Linked DNA regions of Arabidopsis thaliana. The protein of the gene in region 1 interacts with the protein of each later gene in a pairwise test. Each region holds a gene or a part of one and is shown on either strand. Other genes may lie near its edges.

Region 1 (9,448 bases):
GAAGTGTAAGCAAGCAAATCAAGCTTCATACCAATCTCAGCCATTTTGTCTCGTAAAGCCAAAGCCTCTAGCACATTCCCTTGCTTAAAGTTGCCATCCATTAACGATGTGTATGCCGTTCTGTCAGGAACTAACCCCTTCTGAACCATTTGTTCAAAAAGAGTTGTTGCAGCCTCAACTTGGTTATCTTTACAGAGACCATCAATCATCGCTGTGAATATCGCTGCATTAGCCTGTAGACCAAAATCGTTACTTATCCTATTGAAATAATCAACTGCTTTAGAAACCAACTTGTTTTTGCACAATCCATCAATCAAAACGCAAAAGGTAACAACTGTGACCTCAATATCAAGTTCTTTCATCTCGTCCAGTAGGTGCAATCCCTCAGTTGGGTTTCCCGACTTAAAGTACGCATCCATTAACGTTGTGTAAATCAGCGAATTCGCTTTGATCCCACATTCCTTCATTTCATTCATCACTACCTTAGCAGCCTCTATCTTTTCTAAACTGCACAAACCCCAAATGAACGTTCCATAGAGCAGCAAATCCGGTTTAATACCTCTCCCCTTCAATTCGTTTAAAAGCTCTAATGCTCTGTCCATATTTTTCGCTTTTACAAATCCATGAATCAGAGCATTGTAACTTGCAAGATTTGGAATCACCCCAGCTGTATCCATTTTTCCAAAAAGTTCTTCAGCTTCTTTCATTCTCTCCGCATCACAAAGGCCATCAATAAGCGCAGTGTAAGTGACCACATTCCATTCTACACCCACTTGCAACATCTCATTCCCTAACCTAAAAGCATCAGAGAGATTACCAATTTTACAATTGGCATCAATGAGGGAAGTATATGTATACTCATTAGGCACAAGACCAACTCTTCTCATGTCAACATAAAACTTGATGGCTTGTTGCATCATACCCTCTTTACAAAACGCATCAACCAAAGTGCTATAACTCACAACATTCGGTTTCAACCCATTTCCCTTCATCTCTCTATAAAACTCCAAACCTATAGGCAATTTCCCGAATTTACAGAAACAATTGATCAATGCATTATATGTTATAACATCAGGCTCGCAGCACATATCCTTCATTTCCTCGAAAAAGCAAACCGTATCATCTAATCGACCAACCTTCCCAAAACCATCAATCATAGAATTATATGTAACAGTGTCAGGAACCAACCCTCTAAACTTCATTTCTTCAAACAAGCCTCTAGCAGCTTCAACATCTCCTTCTTTACACATACAATCTATCATTATATTGTAAGTAAACACAGTCGGTCTCGCACCAGCACCAATCATGTCTTTGAAAAACCTCTTCACATCATCAGTCTTCCCTAATTTCGCAAACCTATGCAATAAACCGTTGCAAGACCGAGTTTTTGGGAAAACTCTAAATCTCTTCATCTTAGAGAAACACTGAATAGCTTCCTCAAGCATTCCTAGATCAATCAAAACACTAAACAAAGCATCAAACACTCCAAAACCAGGTACACACACATTCCTTGTAGACCACAGAACATCGAAAACATCGCAGTCCGCCTTTGACAAAACCATCTCTTTAAGGACACTATTAGCATCATAATACATTCTAGCACAAAACAGAATGTGAGCTACTATACAGTAAGATTCTACAGAGTGCTTAAACCCATTACGAGTCATCGACCATTTGAAGAATTTGAAAGCTAATTTAGGGTCTTCTTTCAATTCAACGAGAACCCTTGGAACCCAAATCGGAGCTAATGTCAAATCAAAAAGCTTTTCGAGTCCAGGATCATCCCATAGATCATTGTGAACAACTTTACGGATCCAATCTCTATCAAAATCTTCGGAATAAGTAGAAGTACCGCTTTTGGTAACGAAAGGGTATCGAATGATACAGAGAAAACTAGTGAACCAAACGAAAGGGCAAGAGATAAAGGAAGATTGAGAAGGAGAAGGAGAAGAGAGAGGGAAACAGAGAGGTGATTGGATTTGAGAGAGGGAAGAAGAAGAAGGGCTTACATGGCGAGGGAATCTGCGATTAACGTGAAGAAAATTGCGAAGAGAACAGAACATTTTCAGGAAAAAAGTTAAAAGTGAATAGAATGAGCCTCATGGTTTAACTCAGAGACATTGTATTCTATGGTATTCAACTATTCTACTGAAGAGGAAGGAAGGAGAAGAAGAAGAAGAAAGTAGGGTTTATGAAGAACTCTGGGTTTTGTTGCTTTTTTCCACCAAGTCTATTTCTTTACCTGTTGTTGTTCTTGTTTGTAAAATAATGATTTATGGGCCTTTGGAAACGGGCTACATAGGCCCAAAAGTTATAATTCTGGGCCCAGTCTTCTTTTTCTCATAACATTTTTTAACTCAGGGTTAATTAGATTGGTCGACTAAATTCGTAAATACTTTAAAGTTGATTGGTGGAAATCAGTTACATAATTACTCATGTTATGGAAAGGGCAAAAACAATAATGCTAAAGTGGTATTACATCATTCATGGTATGCAAGTGCAAAAACAATAATGATAAAAGGTGTTAAAAGCTAAAATAAGTTATTTACTGTAAATACTTTTTAATTTGAGGAAAAAGTAATATATCAAAACAGATTAGAAAACAGTAAAACTCAGAAATATGATATGGTGTACTTGTACCATTGTTTCTTTTCTTTCTTCTCTAGTGTTACAATTTAAGAAATCACAGTAAGAAAAAATGGCGACTAAAACTCAGTGCCAAGCCAAAGATAAAAGCGACTCGTATTATTTGCTCTACGACTTCTTCTCTCCATTTGCATTAAGCAGAGAGAGAGAGAGAGAGGAAAGGAGCAAAAGCTTTTTTCTGTGTTACTCTTTCTTCTTTTATGACAACATCTCAACGGTCTTCTTCTCAATGTCTTCTTCACCCTCACCTTCACCTCCTTCTGTTGCTTCTTCTTCTCCTTCCTCAGCCGCGTAAACTACTTCTTCACCTTCTTCGTAAGCGTATTCTCCTCCCTCTTCTTCATATCCTTCTTCGTAATAGTACTCTCCGTTTAGCTCATCGCCTTCATAAGCTTGCTCGTCTTCATTTCCTTCATACACTTCCTCCCCAACAATTTCTTCTTCCTCCATAACCGTTCCTTCTTCTTCTACTTCAGCTTTGGGTTCAGAGACAACCTCGGTTTTCTCTTCGGTTATGAGTTTGATCTCATCTCCAGCTTCCTCTTTCGATATCGTCTCGTCCTTGTTGTTGTTTCTGCTACCACCAGATGCGGCCGCTTTTTTTCTCTTGAGAATCTCACTGAAAGGCAATGGAGCTGCAAATGAATCCCTTGATCGCTTATGACTATGATGATCCTCTTCAAAGCTTTTCCTCTTCCCAAGAGATGGCTCTGGCTTACTTTCCTCTCTGCTGCTTTTAGGAGCTGATTTTCTTTCGTCTTCCATTTCTCTTCTTCTCGCCCATGGAGCCCCGAAACCTCTTTCCTGATTACCACTATGGTTTTCCTCTAACCTACCCTTAATTCTATCTCGGAGTCTACCCTGAGAAGGTAACTCGCTTCTGTCCCTTCCCCTCTCACTTCTCCTGTCAAAGTGGTGACCCTCTTCGCCATTGCTTCTCTCACGAAGCTTAATTCTACCCTGAAGACGACTACTGCTAATGGAGTTTTCCCTCGGTGTATCCCTACGAGACTCTCTATATCCTCTGTCCATCGAAGAGTCAGGAGCAGCATAGTCATGGCCTCCTACTGATAATCTCATACCATTGCCTTTTCTCTGCTTAGCCAAACGATATCTCAGATCCGATTCCAGTATGTTCTCTGATCTCTCATCTTCTGCGTAAACCCTTCTGTCCAAACGATCCTCTCTCTCAGAAGAAACTCGACGATGGCCCCATCCCCTGTCTTCCCTCCGATCATATGAATCAAAACGTTGTTCACGTAATGCTTCTTTATCACCATCAGCAATTGCACTGAAATCAGGGTCATACTCTGAGTTCCCTCTCTCCTGACTTCTACGTCCATATCGATCTTCAACATGATAATACTCAGAATCTCCAGCCTCATTATCCACAAGAACATCAAACCCAGGAGACGACTCTCTTAAAACGTCATCTGCATCCTTACCATTGTGGAAACTGTTATTATCATCAGATCCATATTTCTGAAGCAACTGAGTAGAATGGCCTCCTTCAGTAAAAGAAGGGAATCCTGGACCCTTTCTCTGCACAACAGGCTCATATCCCACATGGTTTGGAATGTATCCCTCTACACTTCTACTATCCCTTAGTCCAGTAGAAGCGACTCTTGGTGCAGCCGATATGTCAGTATGTCCTTTAACCACCTTTGAGAGATTAACATCAGGAAGTTTCTTCTCCTCAGTGTTATTTTCAATTGGCTTTTTAGAACACTGAGGATCAGTAGCAGGCTTAGCTTCTACAGGATGCTGTTTTTTATACGCAGCAGGATTCGGCGTGTGCAAGAACGAACACATATCTCCTTTCATACACATGCCTTTTTGAAAGAACAGACATGGAACAGGCTGTTTTGCAACACTAGGATGCTGCGCGGTTGCATGTATTGGCTGTACAGAAACAGCAGGAGCACCTCCTTGATTTCCCAACAATCCCTCCAAAGGCTGTAAGAAAACAAAACCACAAACATAAGCACACTTTGATAATACAACTCAAGAAGCTCAAGCAGAGACTATCTATTGAGGAAGAAAGTAAACTCACAGGATGCCGAAATCCACATTTGGGATTCAAACAGTTTCCATTCAACCAATAATAGCAATCCCTCGGGTTCATACGCGCATACTCACTGTGGCGATACTCGCATTCAGGTCCCTGTAAGCAAAAAAGGAAGAAACCATAAGAATCGTTCTTCAGCATAAACATACACATCGAGCAAAAATCATATTCACAGAACATGAAAATCTCCTTTATCAGAACATCCTTATAAAGCTTTGTATATGTAATTTTCAATCTAGCTAACAAGAAGCCCTAAGAAACAACAATACTTAGAATCACGAGGTTCGAAATCACCAGATCTAAATCTCGCACCAAAATTAAGCAGATGGAGAAGTGAAGTATGTATAGATAGCTTCGAGGGACACAAAAACACAGAGAAACTTGAAATCGGGTGAAAGAAACTTGAGATCTCAAATCCAAAACCCTAATTGAAGCAGAAACTGGATAAGATCTAAGCGAAACAATAATCAAAAATCAATTACCTTCTTGCAGGTTAAAGGAGAAGCGAGAAAGTAAACGCAATCGGTGTTCCACTTCAAAGCATCTTCTTCAGCAGATGAAACAGTCTCTGATTGCTTCTTCTGCTCATGTTGCTGTTGCGGTTGAGTCGCAGGCGCAAACATTATTATTACTTGGAAATTTCTGAATCTCTCTTTCAAGTAGATCGCAAGGTTTCAGATCGAAACCCTAGGAAGATCGAAAATCACCGATTCAGAGAGAGTCCCGTGGAAGAAGAAGAAGAAGACGAGCCGCCACAAAGAGCGCACCAGAGAGAAACTCGCGACTGTGTGTGTGTGCCCTTTAAAGCTAAGCCTAAAAGTTTTTTTTTTTGGCTCTTTTTTTTTCTTATGTGATGGGAAATATCAATAGATCAAGTTCGGTTTATTTGTAATCAATCAAATACTGACACGTGGGGATTTATTATTGGTTTATTTGTTAGCCATATTGTTTGCCTTGATATTATAACTTCTGATGGAACCAGCGACTTTGGAATGTTGTGAAATAGACAATGATAAGGTGATTTAAACCGAACTTGAACCAAAATTGTAAACCGATTGGTAGATCTTTTACAATCAAACATTGGTAAGGAAATCTAACCAAAATTAAATCCAAACCAAAATCAAAACTTTGGTTTTCACTTTGGTAAGGACATCTTGAACCGAGTAATTCGAAGATCTCTCAAAACCAAAATTTGAAGATGTACAAAGCAACTAAAAGATCACAAGAAATAAGTTTTTCAAAGCTTTTATTATACAAATGATGATAGAAAGATGTGTTCTTGAGAATTAACAACATCACATTCACAATAGGATTGGATTTAAGAACAAAAGCTAAAGCAAGAGAACAACAATGAAGGTACTTTGCCTGTTCTTCGGATTTGTTCAGCTTGTTTCTCTGTTTTAGCTGCCTGATGATCCTTCTTTGCTTCAGCCGCTGCTCGCTTTTCCTCTGCTTTGCGCTCGATTGTAGCGAGTTTCTTCATCAACCGGTCTTGTGCTCGTCCCTTAATCCTCTCAACTTTAACCTACAATATCAAGAACTCCACCATCATCATTCATGTTTTTCCAAGTTTGTTCACAATCATGACTTGAACTTACGTAGCTATGTTAGTGTAGTTTACCTCGGTTTTCTTCATCTCGGCTTCAGATTTCGCCTTCTGATGATTCTCCCATGCTTGAATCTTCATCTCTTCGCGTCTGAACCTGGAGATTACAGAACTCATCATAAGCTTAAAGTTTCGAGAATAACTAGAGGACTATGACAAACAATTCAACTTTGGACTACCTAGCCATGTGCTTAGCTTTTTCCGCTTCCTCCCACGCTGTAGCACGAGCTTCAGAAACACTTTTAGAAGTTTGTAGAGAAGCTTTGGTCTTTAATGATGTGGATGCGTCTTTATCTTCATCCTCCTTGCTAGCCCAAGCAGCAATGTTAAATTTACCAAGTTGAGTACCCAACACCATTATCTCTCTCCTAGTTTTCATTTGAAGCTCTTTCTCTGACAGTTCCTTGTTACTCATAGGAGAAGCTGATGCTTGTCTGCCTGGACTTGAAGGTTCAGAAGATATAGGACTTCGTATTGGCGTTGTTGCCCTAATCGGTGTCCCGTTTCTAGAAGGTTCTTGGCTCGCTATAGGAGTCATTTCAGTTCCCATGTCTCTCATTGACACAGACCTTGCCGTTGAAGGCGGTTGAGCAAACGCAGTTGCGACTGACGAGTCATGACGGCTGAGATTAACTGCAAGAAAGCAAGTAAAATTGGCTTTAGAAGATAAATAGAGCATACAAACTGAATAACTCAAAGAGCTAGCTAACACCACCTTCAGTTGCTGATTCTACAATAGAGTTCTCAACCATAAGAACCGGTTTGACATATGAATCCACGGTAGTGTACGAATCAACTTCCCAGCTACCAAACTTGTTTCCCATATCCTTTTTCACTTGGCTTACATCTATTCTCTTTGTATCAGGCTCTTCAACCACTCTATGTTCAGCAACTTCAACAATCTTCATAGAAGACTGACGACCAAAGCTAGGCCCTTTCTTCGAACCCGGAACCTGAACCTGTCCAGTCTTCGGTCGGTTAGCCGTAGGACTAGCAATCCATTTCTGAGCATCATCCCATTTAGATGGAGCTGGTTTAGAGAATGATCTAATAGGCATTCTTTGATTAACTTTTTCCTTCTCAGTCTTTTGAAACTCAAAGACAGATGATGCAGAAACACTCTTGATCTCATTCACATTATCATAATCAGAATACTCTTGAAGACCCAAACTAATCGATCTAGCTATCCCTGAAGTAGAACAATCAGTAATCTCACTCACAACATCAACATCTTTGCAATCATCTAATCCACTAGCAACTACAACATTTGAAAACAACAAAAGCAAAGAAAAAAAGATGCAAACTTTAGATTCAAATAGAGACAAAAGGCGTTATTAAAAAGAGTATTAAGAAATGATTAAGGGGCTCCACCATAAACCCTAGGGTCATCAATTTGATTAGACCCAGATCTCATTGTAGGAGTTGATTCTTCTTCTTCATTCTTCTTTCTATCAACACCTAGAAGAAGCATACTCCTTAACTTCCCCGGAGAAAATCCGCCGCCGCTACTAGTAACCTATTCATCGGAGGAAACAGAGTTTATCAAATCAAAAACAGAGATGATGATGAAGTGATTTGCAAAAGGAAAGTTTGTACTTTGAAGTAAGAAATCAGAAAATTGACAAATCTGGCTTTTGATATCCCTAATTTTACGCAAAACCCAGTTTCGGTAAACGTGAAACCGAAGCATTTTCTCACCTGGGTCTTTCCGATTCGTTCGTAATCCATCGAAAGAGAATCTCAAAAATCTTCACTTTTTTCTCGAGAACCAAAAATCCTGAAAAAGAGTGATGCAAAATGTGTAAGAAAATATAATAGTAGTAGTAGATTGTTGGTGTTATCAGAACTCAGAAGCATTATTTGAAAGGAAGAGTACAGTGAATGATAAGAGAGCTTGGAAGCTTGTGAAAGTACAGAGATTGATACACACTGTGTCTTTCTTTCTTTCTTTCTCAAAGCTTCTCTCTTTTCTTTTCTTTTTTTTGGTTTTTTTTTTTTTTGGTCTTAAGCTGACATCAAAATAAGGGACATTCACAGTGATGGAGCCTTTAAGTTAAGCAACTGTTGTACCATCTGCCAAAAAAAGAAGAAGTTAAGGGACATTCAATAATCTTGATCTATAGTTCATAAATCTTACATAATTCTTCACATCCAAATTCGTTGTTGATTATAACGCAGGACTTGCTATTTGAATCGAAATTTTACCCAAATAATACTATAGTTATATTATTTGGTCAGTTCTCTATATAGACTAGAGTTTGTTGTAATTCTTGACCCCCCAAAAAAGTATTAATTCAAAATATTAAAATCTTAACTTTTGACCCCCAAAAAAACACATCTTATTTTAGTTAATTACTTAATTTAATTCTGTTTTGCTTTTGCACTTCTTAATTTGTACTTAAATTATTTTACAACAAATTAATTTTTTTTGTTGATACCTAAAGTGATAAAAATTCGATATCAAAAATGCAATTTTTTTTGAGAAACTTACTAGATTTTAGGTTATATATATTTTTCACTAAACATTATTTCTTGATTAGAACTATAGAAGTATATTACAATTTGGCAACAAAAAAATATATATTAGTGTATTTAGTTATATATGTTATATATGTATATATATTCTTTTAATTTTTTAAAATGTCTAATTCATAAATTAACTCATGTTCGTTAAAACTCGTTCATATAATTTGTACTCTAAATTATACTTGATTATATAACTCATCTATTAAATGAATTTCATTCATACTGATAAAAAACCAAGCTGAGTTGACTCATCTCATGAGCTAACATATCATTTCGACACCTCTAATTAGGACTATAGAAGTATTTTACAATTAGGCACACAAAAAAAAGTATATTATCATTACGAAGAAAAAAAAGTGGTGGCCTGGCCTCCATAGGATGCTCATGCTGTCTTTGAAGGCCCATAAGTAAGGCCATGCCTATTTGACGGTCAAAGACAAAAATGGTTCCATTTGACCAAGAAGATGATCATATAGTATTATGACAGCTATTGTACTCCCCAATCCAACACAGCAACACACGAATGCCTAGTCGGTGATTCATCATGAAGATTAATTCCTACATAATTAGTATTATCTTCTAACAATTCTCATTTTTCAAAG
Region 2 (7,750 bases), on another chromosome or scaffold:
GATATATTTTGCATTCCTATTTATCTCCCAATTTCATTCAATAACTAAATATATTGGGACTGTAATAGCTGTAATAATTAAAAAAAATAGTAATTAAATAAAAAAAATTGGAACACCTGATTTCATAATTAAATAGTTATATTAGAGTTTAGATTCTTAAATTAATATTTTTCTTGAACAGGGTGTTTTTGTTCCAGAACATGGCATTTTTGGGGCTAAGTTATAGCTCTCCAATTGTGGTATGTGCCATGGGCTTGCAGTCACCTGCTTTCTCCTTCTTGCTATCTCTTGCTCTTGGGTAAACTAAATTACTTCTATTAAAATTTAAATTTCTTTAGCTATGTTTATAATTGAACTATAACTAACAATGATTTCAATAAATTTTGAATATAAATTAGTAAGGAAGGAGGGTTAGGATGGGCAAGTAAGAGAACAAAAGGAAGAGTGATAGGCACGTTGATATGTTTCACAGGAGCCTTTGTTGAAGTTATTTACTTAGGACCTTTTATAAGACCTTCTCCTCCTTCATCCCCAACCTCCAATTTCCTTACTACAATCTCACACTACTTAACTTTCTTCAAAAATTCTGACAATTGGGCTCTCGGCTCTCTCCTCCTTGCATGCGCCACGCTCTCCATCTCCATTTGGAATATTATACAGGTAATCAAAATTACGTTTCAAGATATCGATTTTCGAAAACAAATATTATCATTTGTAGATGAATCTACACACGTCTTAACTTGATTCTTAAGTAATGCATACACGTTTTAATTATTAATTATTTTTTTTGTTTTTGTTGGTCGGGTTATGTTATTCGGTATATCAGTTGGATACAGTCCAAAAATATCCTCAAGTGATGAAAGTAGTGTCTGCCTATAGTTTAGCTGGGACACTCCAATGTGCAATCTTCTCAGCGTTCATGGAGCCAGACCTAAGTGCATGGGAACTCAAACTTAACATGGACCTATATCTCATTATTGCCACGGTATATCTATGTGATCATATATTATAATTACTATATAGTATGTATTTCGTAATCTGAGGATGTGTATATATAATCATATATATTGTTCATTTATAGGGAATATTTGGGAGCATAATCAGAACAAGTGTTCAAGTGAAGTGCTCCAAAATGAAGGGGCCTTATTATGTGCCACTCTTCAAGCCATTTGGGATCCTTTGGGCTTCCATTTTTGGCACAAGCTTCTTTGTCAATAGTCTTCACTATGGAAGGTAAATATAATTTTCGAAAGTTATATTTAAACAACGAAGAGACTCAAATTATTCTCTAGTTACATGCGTTCATTTATTTTTAACCCAAATGCTTAATACCAAATCAAATATGCATATATGTTTGATATGACTTTTATTCCTGTTCAAATTTTATTATATACATATCTTAATGTGTTATATAAAAAATTTAAGTTGTCCCTTAGTTTCCTTTTTGATTTTTTCATATTTTAAAATAAGTAAAAAAGTTCAAACCAATTTTTTTTTTTTTAGTTTACATATCAATTTTCGATTTGAATATGATATGTTCAGGTTGTTAAATGTGAACTTCTTGTGAACAGTGTGTTAGGAGCTGCTATAGCAGGAACTGGATATCTATTGATAATGTGGAGTCAAGTTCAAAAAGATGATCCAAATGAAACGGTGGAGAAAAACGATAATCATCAATTGGATTCAGATGAACAGACAACTCCACTTTTGCTCGCGAATGGTGATTTTGATCAAGTTTAATTCAGAAATGGTTGTTCGCCTAATGTGTTTAGTTGTGTTATGTTAAACATAAATTAAGGGTAAGTAAATCGAAGAAATTATATATAAAAAAAAACATATGTGTGTGAAGCAAAACAAATATATATATAAAGTCTTGTAACGTTTTTTTGTATGAGAGGAATGTATCAAAGTCTATCAAAATTAAAAGTAAATTATGAGTTAAAATAAAACGAAAAAAATATAAGTTTTACTTTTTATCCAAATAAAACTCACGATGCAATCATATATGCAACCTCAAATGAGGACTAAATAGTAAATAGTTGTTACTTATATGAAACTACTTGAAGGTCCATCTTTGGCATTCGTCTCACTATAAACGGGAATGATCCGGTTGATCTAATTTAGTAATTTATATCAGTTCCAAGAGAATTTTCACAAACACTGAACCCAACCAAAACTCATTCGATATAATCAAACTACAATAAAAACAGTTCAAATAGAAAAAAAACCATAAATGACCATGAAAACAAATTGTGGTTAATGTTTTTGATATATAGCTACTAAAACAGTCAAAATTGTTTAACATCCAATTAGCTACATCTTTTTGCAGCACCCACCGCATCTGCAAAAAAAATGAATAAAATCCAAAACCGAGGTGAATGCTGAATCAGACACAAACCAGTTGTGGAGAGTTTGGTTGAAGACATGAATTCAAACCCGAAACAGACTAACCAAAAAGCTTTTCTACGAACTTTTCTTAAAAAGACACATTTGTTTAGTCATTAACTTAGAATAACTAACAAAATTATCTCTAAGCATTTGGAGGGTAATTATGCACTCAATTAGTTGCCAAATTATAAGTTGTATTGAAGGAGAAATTAGGTAAGAGGAATTCTTGATTTCGAAGGCGTTGGACTCGAATTACCCTATTTCTCTATCAATCCAACTTAATTTCGATTCTAGAATTCCTAGGGTTTGAAGAGTATGTTGGACGGTTTGTGGGATCTTATCTCTGAAAGCAGTGTTCTTATTGAAAAATTGGGAAAATCAATCGTCTCTCAGGTTTTTACCAATTACATGAGTTGTGAGTTAATTAAGGTTTAACGTATATGACCAGTTGTGTTTATGTTCTGCTTTGTGTTGTCCAATTATTGAGACCTTTTTTTTTTGGGCAAATCCAATTATTGAGACCATGTGTAAATGTTATTACTTTTTAAAGCAAATATGTAGGTAAATAAAAATAATTGACTTAAGCCAAATAATAAAATTGACAAAACCACTTAAGAAGACTGCGTCGATTTATAAAATATTTGTTGGCAATTAATTGAGGAAAAATACAGTTACGCGTTTCATAAAAACTAAATAAAATAGGATGAAGCAAAAAAAGGAAAATATCACTACGAGATCTAATGAAAAGACCTCACAAGATTTCGGACGCGCATATTAGATATGATTTTTTACGCATTTTCACCAAATTATGACCGTTGTGGGATTGAGGAAACCTAATCTTCTAAGTCTCTATATATTAAAGAATCATCATAGCCTTCTCGTTGCACTTCCCATTACGATCGAAAGTTCTCTGCTTTTTATCTCTCTCTCACGATTTAATCAAAGTTTCATCTTCTCTCTCTCTTTCAAAAGATGGCTCCTCGTCAGAAGAAACCTAACAAGTCCGATGATGATGATGGTGATTTGCATAGGAAGAAACAGAGCTTTTTCAAACAGAGATTTCCAGGCTTTAAGAAGAAAGCCTCAGAGCTCTCTGTTCTCTGCGGCAACTCTGTCGGTTTCATCTGTTACGGTCCCGACAACGATCTCCATGTTTGGCCTCAGTCTCAAGATCATAACCCACAAGCCCTACATGAGATCGTGGCCAAGTTCAATGCCTTGAGTGATGAGAGGAGGAAGAATCATGCATGTGATCTCAATGACTTCCCTCATCATCTCAAGGGTTTGTCTCGTGAGGAGTTAAGGAAGCATCTCCTTCACCTTGACTCTCAATTACTTGGAGTCAGGGAACAAAAGATAGAAATTCTTAAGAAGACGCTCACGGGTTCTTCCGAAAAAGATGGTGCAAGGGTTTCAGAGAACTCGGCCATCTCCGATCACAAGTTGAAGATAGAGCCTAATTTGACGGATATATTGTCAGAAGATCATCTAATTAGGGTTTCAGATAAGAAGCTGGGTTCGTGTGATGTATTTGACGAGTTGGCTTACGTGGTCCGCGGGTCAAGGAATTTGAACGAGAATGTTTCCAATTACGAATCAAAAGATGCAGCTTACACGGGAATGGATCATCTTGGCACTTTCGGCGGTAATTATCTTCAGGAGGCGGCGGCAGAACTTTACCAAACTTACAATCTAGGGAATTTTTGTGATGATCATGTTTGGGATCTGGAGTTTGCCTCAAGACTACCACCACTTCATACATTTAGCGATCCTCTCATGACCACCAATACTTGCCAAACGATGAGCTCCGATATGATTTCAATTTGATAACTTGATGACTACGTTAGTGAAATCATGTTTCTTTCACCTTTTCTCGGTGATTGATCATTTTTTAGTATCTCTTAACTTGTATGTTTGCTCCAACACAAATCCATGTTTGTAAAGTTGGTAGTTTTTTTTCTTGTTTATTATTGATTAATCAAACTTTTCCTTTCTTTCTGTTATTCTTTCTCTGTAACCCTATTTTGACTGCAACACCAACTTATCAGATAAACAAAACGTTGTAAACCATGCAAGAAACAAAGAGTTCATAACCTAAATTGCACAACTCGTTAAAGCTTCTAGAGCAGGGAATGAAAGTTATACATACTTGTTCAGATGTTAATTCACTGTCAAGTCTTGGAGATGCCTTGTTTTTAATGACGGATGACACGTTCTTTATGTCAATCTAGTGTTTGCTTCAGCAAGTCTTTCTGTCCCTCGACCTCGTGTTTACCAAGTCAACATTCCTAATCAGCATTCTCATAATTAGAACGAACTTCAGTGGAGTAACTCAACTGATCAACTTGTGACGTAAACACAAAATAAAGTACCCATGAAACTACATATAAGCTTTGTTCACGATCAAATTCATAAGCATATCCATGAATCAAATCCCCAAAACTTCAATTCTACAAGGCTTGCGATGCAATATAATTATTACTCTATATGCTATTTATTTGATTGCCACTGATTTGGCCACTACCACAAGTTTTAAAAAATTTGAGATAAAAATTGGCACATGTTCTCCCTAAAGTAACTGTTAGAACGTGACGACTAGTAGTTACCAATGAAAAGTTGGCAGACGTTCTTGCAAAAATATTAGCTAATGGTGAGTGACTAGCAGCTGCCAATGACAAAGCTAACAGTTTTTTTTTTTTTTTCTAAATTATCTAAAGACAAAACTAACAGTAAGTCCCCAAAAAATAACAGTTAGTTGTGAAACTATATACAGTATACTATCAATTAGCGACTGCTAGTACTGTCGAACCGACGACTAACGTCAGCTAGTTGAAGAACTTGCCGTCTCTTCTGGAACTCCGTTGGTCTATTTTTCAGCCAAAACACAAAAACTAAAAAGTTTTAAGTACTGATGTTCACAGAGCAATGATTTGTCAAATTTTTCAAGTGAAAAGTCCTCCCTTAATAATACTGTTACTTGTAAAGTTTCAAAAGTCAAAGTGGTTGTAACTTGTGGTGTAGTAAGGTAGAGTTTTACGCTAAATAAAAACATCCCAAAACTGATTATAACCCCATTCAATATGGTTCCAATTTAGAAAAGTATATAGTATTAATAGAGTAAAGTGTGGGGATGGAGTCATTAAAGGTAGAAGAGAAGTATGCATGTCTACGGATTGCTTCGACTTTACGTTATGCTAAAGTATATAAAGGTGAAAGAAGCGACTGTTGAATTTATTTCATTTTTCCTCAATTACAATTTTTTGATTAACTAGGTTCTAAATTGACGGTCATACAATTTCTAAACACATAATATTTTTTGAATATTTTATCCGTACCAACAACTATCACTCGATTCTGTCAACTCTTGAAATATTTTCAAGTTTCTTTACCGTCGAGTTATCGATCTCTAGTTCCCTCTATTACATTTTATTTGTAACGTCCAGACTTTCTTAACTTTTGTCTTTCAAAGTGTTCTTGCATTATTTCTCCTAAAAACTTTGTCAAGCTTCTGTATTTAACGTGATTTTAGCGATTAAATGTGAATTTCTATCTTGATATTTGTGATTAATGGAAGAGAGTTGAGCAAAGAAGATATTCATTTTTGTGTTTCATTCTGTCTGAATCAGTATACATACTATTTATGCGTGTTTCCAAAATCTCTTGTTTTATTGATATCAAATACGATTTATAATATACTTTAAATGTGGTCCTTAAGTTAGGTGATGTTGCTATAAATATACAAACTCTATATTAAAACTAAAATTTAATACTTTTGTTTGTATTTGTAAATTTATTTACCTATTTCTTTGTTTCACAATTTATGCTGTTCTATATTATATTCACTAGAATTTAAAAGTAATTTATAAAAATAGCTCTTTTCCTCTTCCTCTTCACATTGAAGCTTTTATTTTTCTTATAGGTTTCGTGTCCTCCAAGTGGTTCTTTCTTCTCAAAGGTCTTTAAACGAAAACGCGCAAAATCAACTTTTTGACGTTCTTGCTTTATATTGACGGTTTCTTACTTAAATTCCCCGACAAATGTCTTTCTCTTTTTCTAGCTTCATCTTCGTCTTCTTTCACTTTCTCACTCTCATTTCTTAAACCCTTTTTCACTTTCGGTGTCTAGGTTTGGATTTTATCTTCCAAGCTCCTACAAACTTAACTCGTTCTTCAAGATTCCAGCATAAAGACTCAACCTATCTCTGTTTTTTCTTCTCTTGAATTGCTTTTGGGTTTCATCAGAAGTTAAAGGAAATGGCCGGTGGTGGTGGAGGAGGAGGAGGGGTAGCGCCGCCGCTAAAACATGATGGGCTTGAGCCACATCCGGTGAAAGATCAACTTTCTTCTATCTCTTATTGCATCACAAGTCCTCCTCCTTGGCGTAACCATCTTCTCTCATACTTTCATTTGTGCAATGTGTAATCTTTGATTTAACAACTAAAGATCACTTCTTTTTTTTCTGATCAGCGGAGGCAATACTTTTGGGGTTTCAGCATTACTTAGTGATGCTTGGAACAACTGTTCTCATCCCAACATATTTAGTTCCACAGATGGGTGGTGGAAATGTAAGTTATCTTCTTAGACAAGTCATTTCCATGAACATATATAGAAACTCTGTTTTTTTATCGGATTTGTATTCATTTGTTGTAGGAAGAGAAGGCAAAGATGGTTCAGACATTACTTTTTGTTTCTGGACTTAATACTTTATTGCAAAGTTTCTTTGGGACTAGACTTCCAGCGGTCATTGGAGGCTCTTACACCTATGTACCAACCACGCTTTCCATCATCTTGGCTGGTCGGTACAGCGACATTTTGGATCCTCAGGAGGTTAGTTAAAGAAAAACAGAGCATCTATCTGTTTCTGTATCATATTTTCTCATTCATAGAGTGAAAATATGCAGAAATTTAAGAGGATCATGCGAGGAATCCAGGGTGCTCTTATCGTTGCCTCGATTCTTCAGATCGTTGTTGGCTTCAGCGGGCTTTGGCGCAATGTAGTTAGGTTAGCTAAGAACACTCAATCATATACAAAACACAACTAACAGATTCTCTTCTGCTATTTTCTGATGATTGTTCTTACTTTCTTTAGGCTCCTGAGTCCTCTCTCTGCAGTTCCTCTAGTAGCACTAGCTGGTTTTGGACTTTATGAGCACGGTTTCCCTCTGGTGTGTTATTGCTTTACTTGATCTCTCTTTCAGTTTTATAACATTTTCTTGAATACAGAGTTGTTCTGTTTCTGGCAGCTAGCCAAATGCATCGAGATTGGACTGCCTGAGATCATCCTTCTACTCTTATTCTCACAGGTTAACGCTCTGCGAAAAGCTCTTCTCGTGATTTCGAAAGAGATGTTAACTAGAGATTCA

What was found.
Region 2: the proteins of AT2G02160 (region 1) and AGL49 interact in a two-hybrid assay, tested with the Arabidopsis thaliana proteins (one large-scale study listed by BioGRID).

The regions. Positions count from the first base shown.
Region 1 is NC_003071.7:550,563-560,010, forward strand, and holds AT2G02160 (CCCH-type zinc finger family protein), read right to left. Parts: upstream 5,570-9,448; 5' UTR 5,338-5,569; coding exon 5,197-5,337; intron 4,811-5,196; coding exon 4,700-4,810; intron 4,603-4,699; coding exon 2,845-4,602; 3' UTR 2,524-2,844; downstream 1-2,523. Other genes in the region: EMB2794 (Tetratricopeptide repeat (TPR)-like superfamily protein), read right to left, coding at 1-2,063; AT2G02170 (Remorin family protein), read right to left, coding at 6,033-6,239, 6,336-6,417, 6,500-6,953, 7,036-7,578, 7,692-7,836, 8,019-8,048.
Region 2 is NC_003070.9:22,115,540-22,123,289, reverse strand, and holds AGL49 (AGAMOUS-like 49), read left to right. Parts: upstream 1-3,360; coding exon 3,361-4,215; 3' UTR 4,216-4,316; downstream 4,317-7,750. Other genes in the region: UMAMIT35 (Nodulin MtN21 /EamA-like transporter family protein), read left to right, coding at 182-298, 399-660, 827-985, 1,082-1,233, 1,572-1,740; NAT7 (nucleobase-ascorbate transporter 7), read left to right, coding at 6,642-6,768, 6,855-6,952, 7,038-7,214, 7,289-7,389, 7,477-7,552, 7,631-7,690. UniProt on the Arabidopsis thaliana protein: Probable transcription factor that may function in the maintenance of the proper function of the central cell in pollen tube attraction.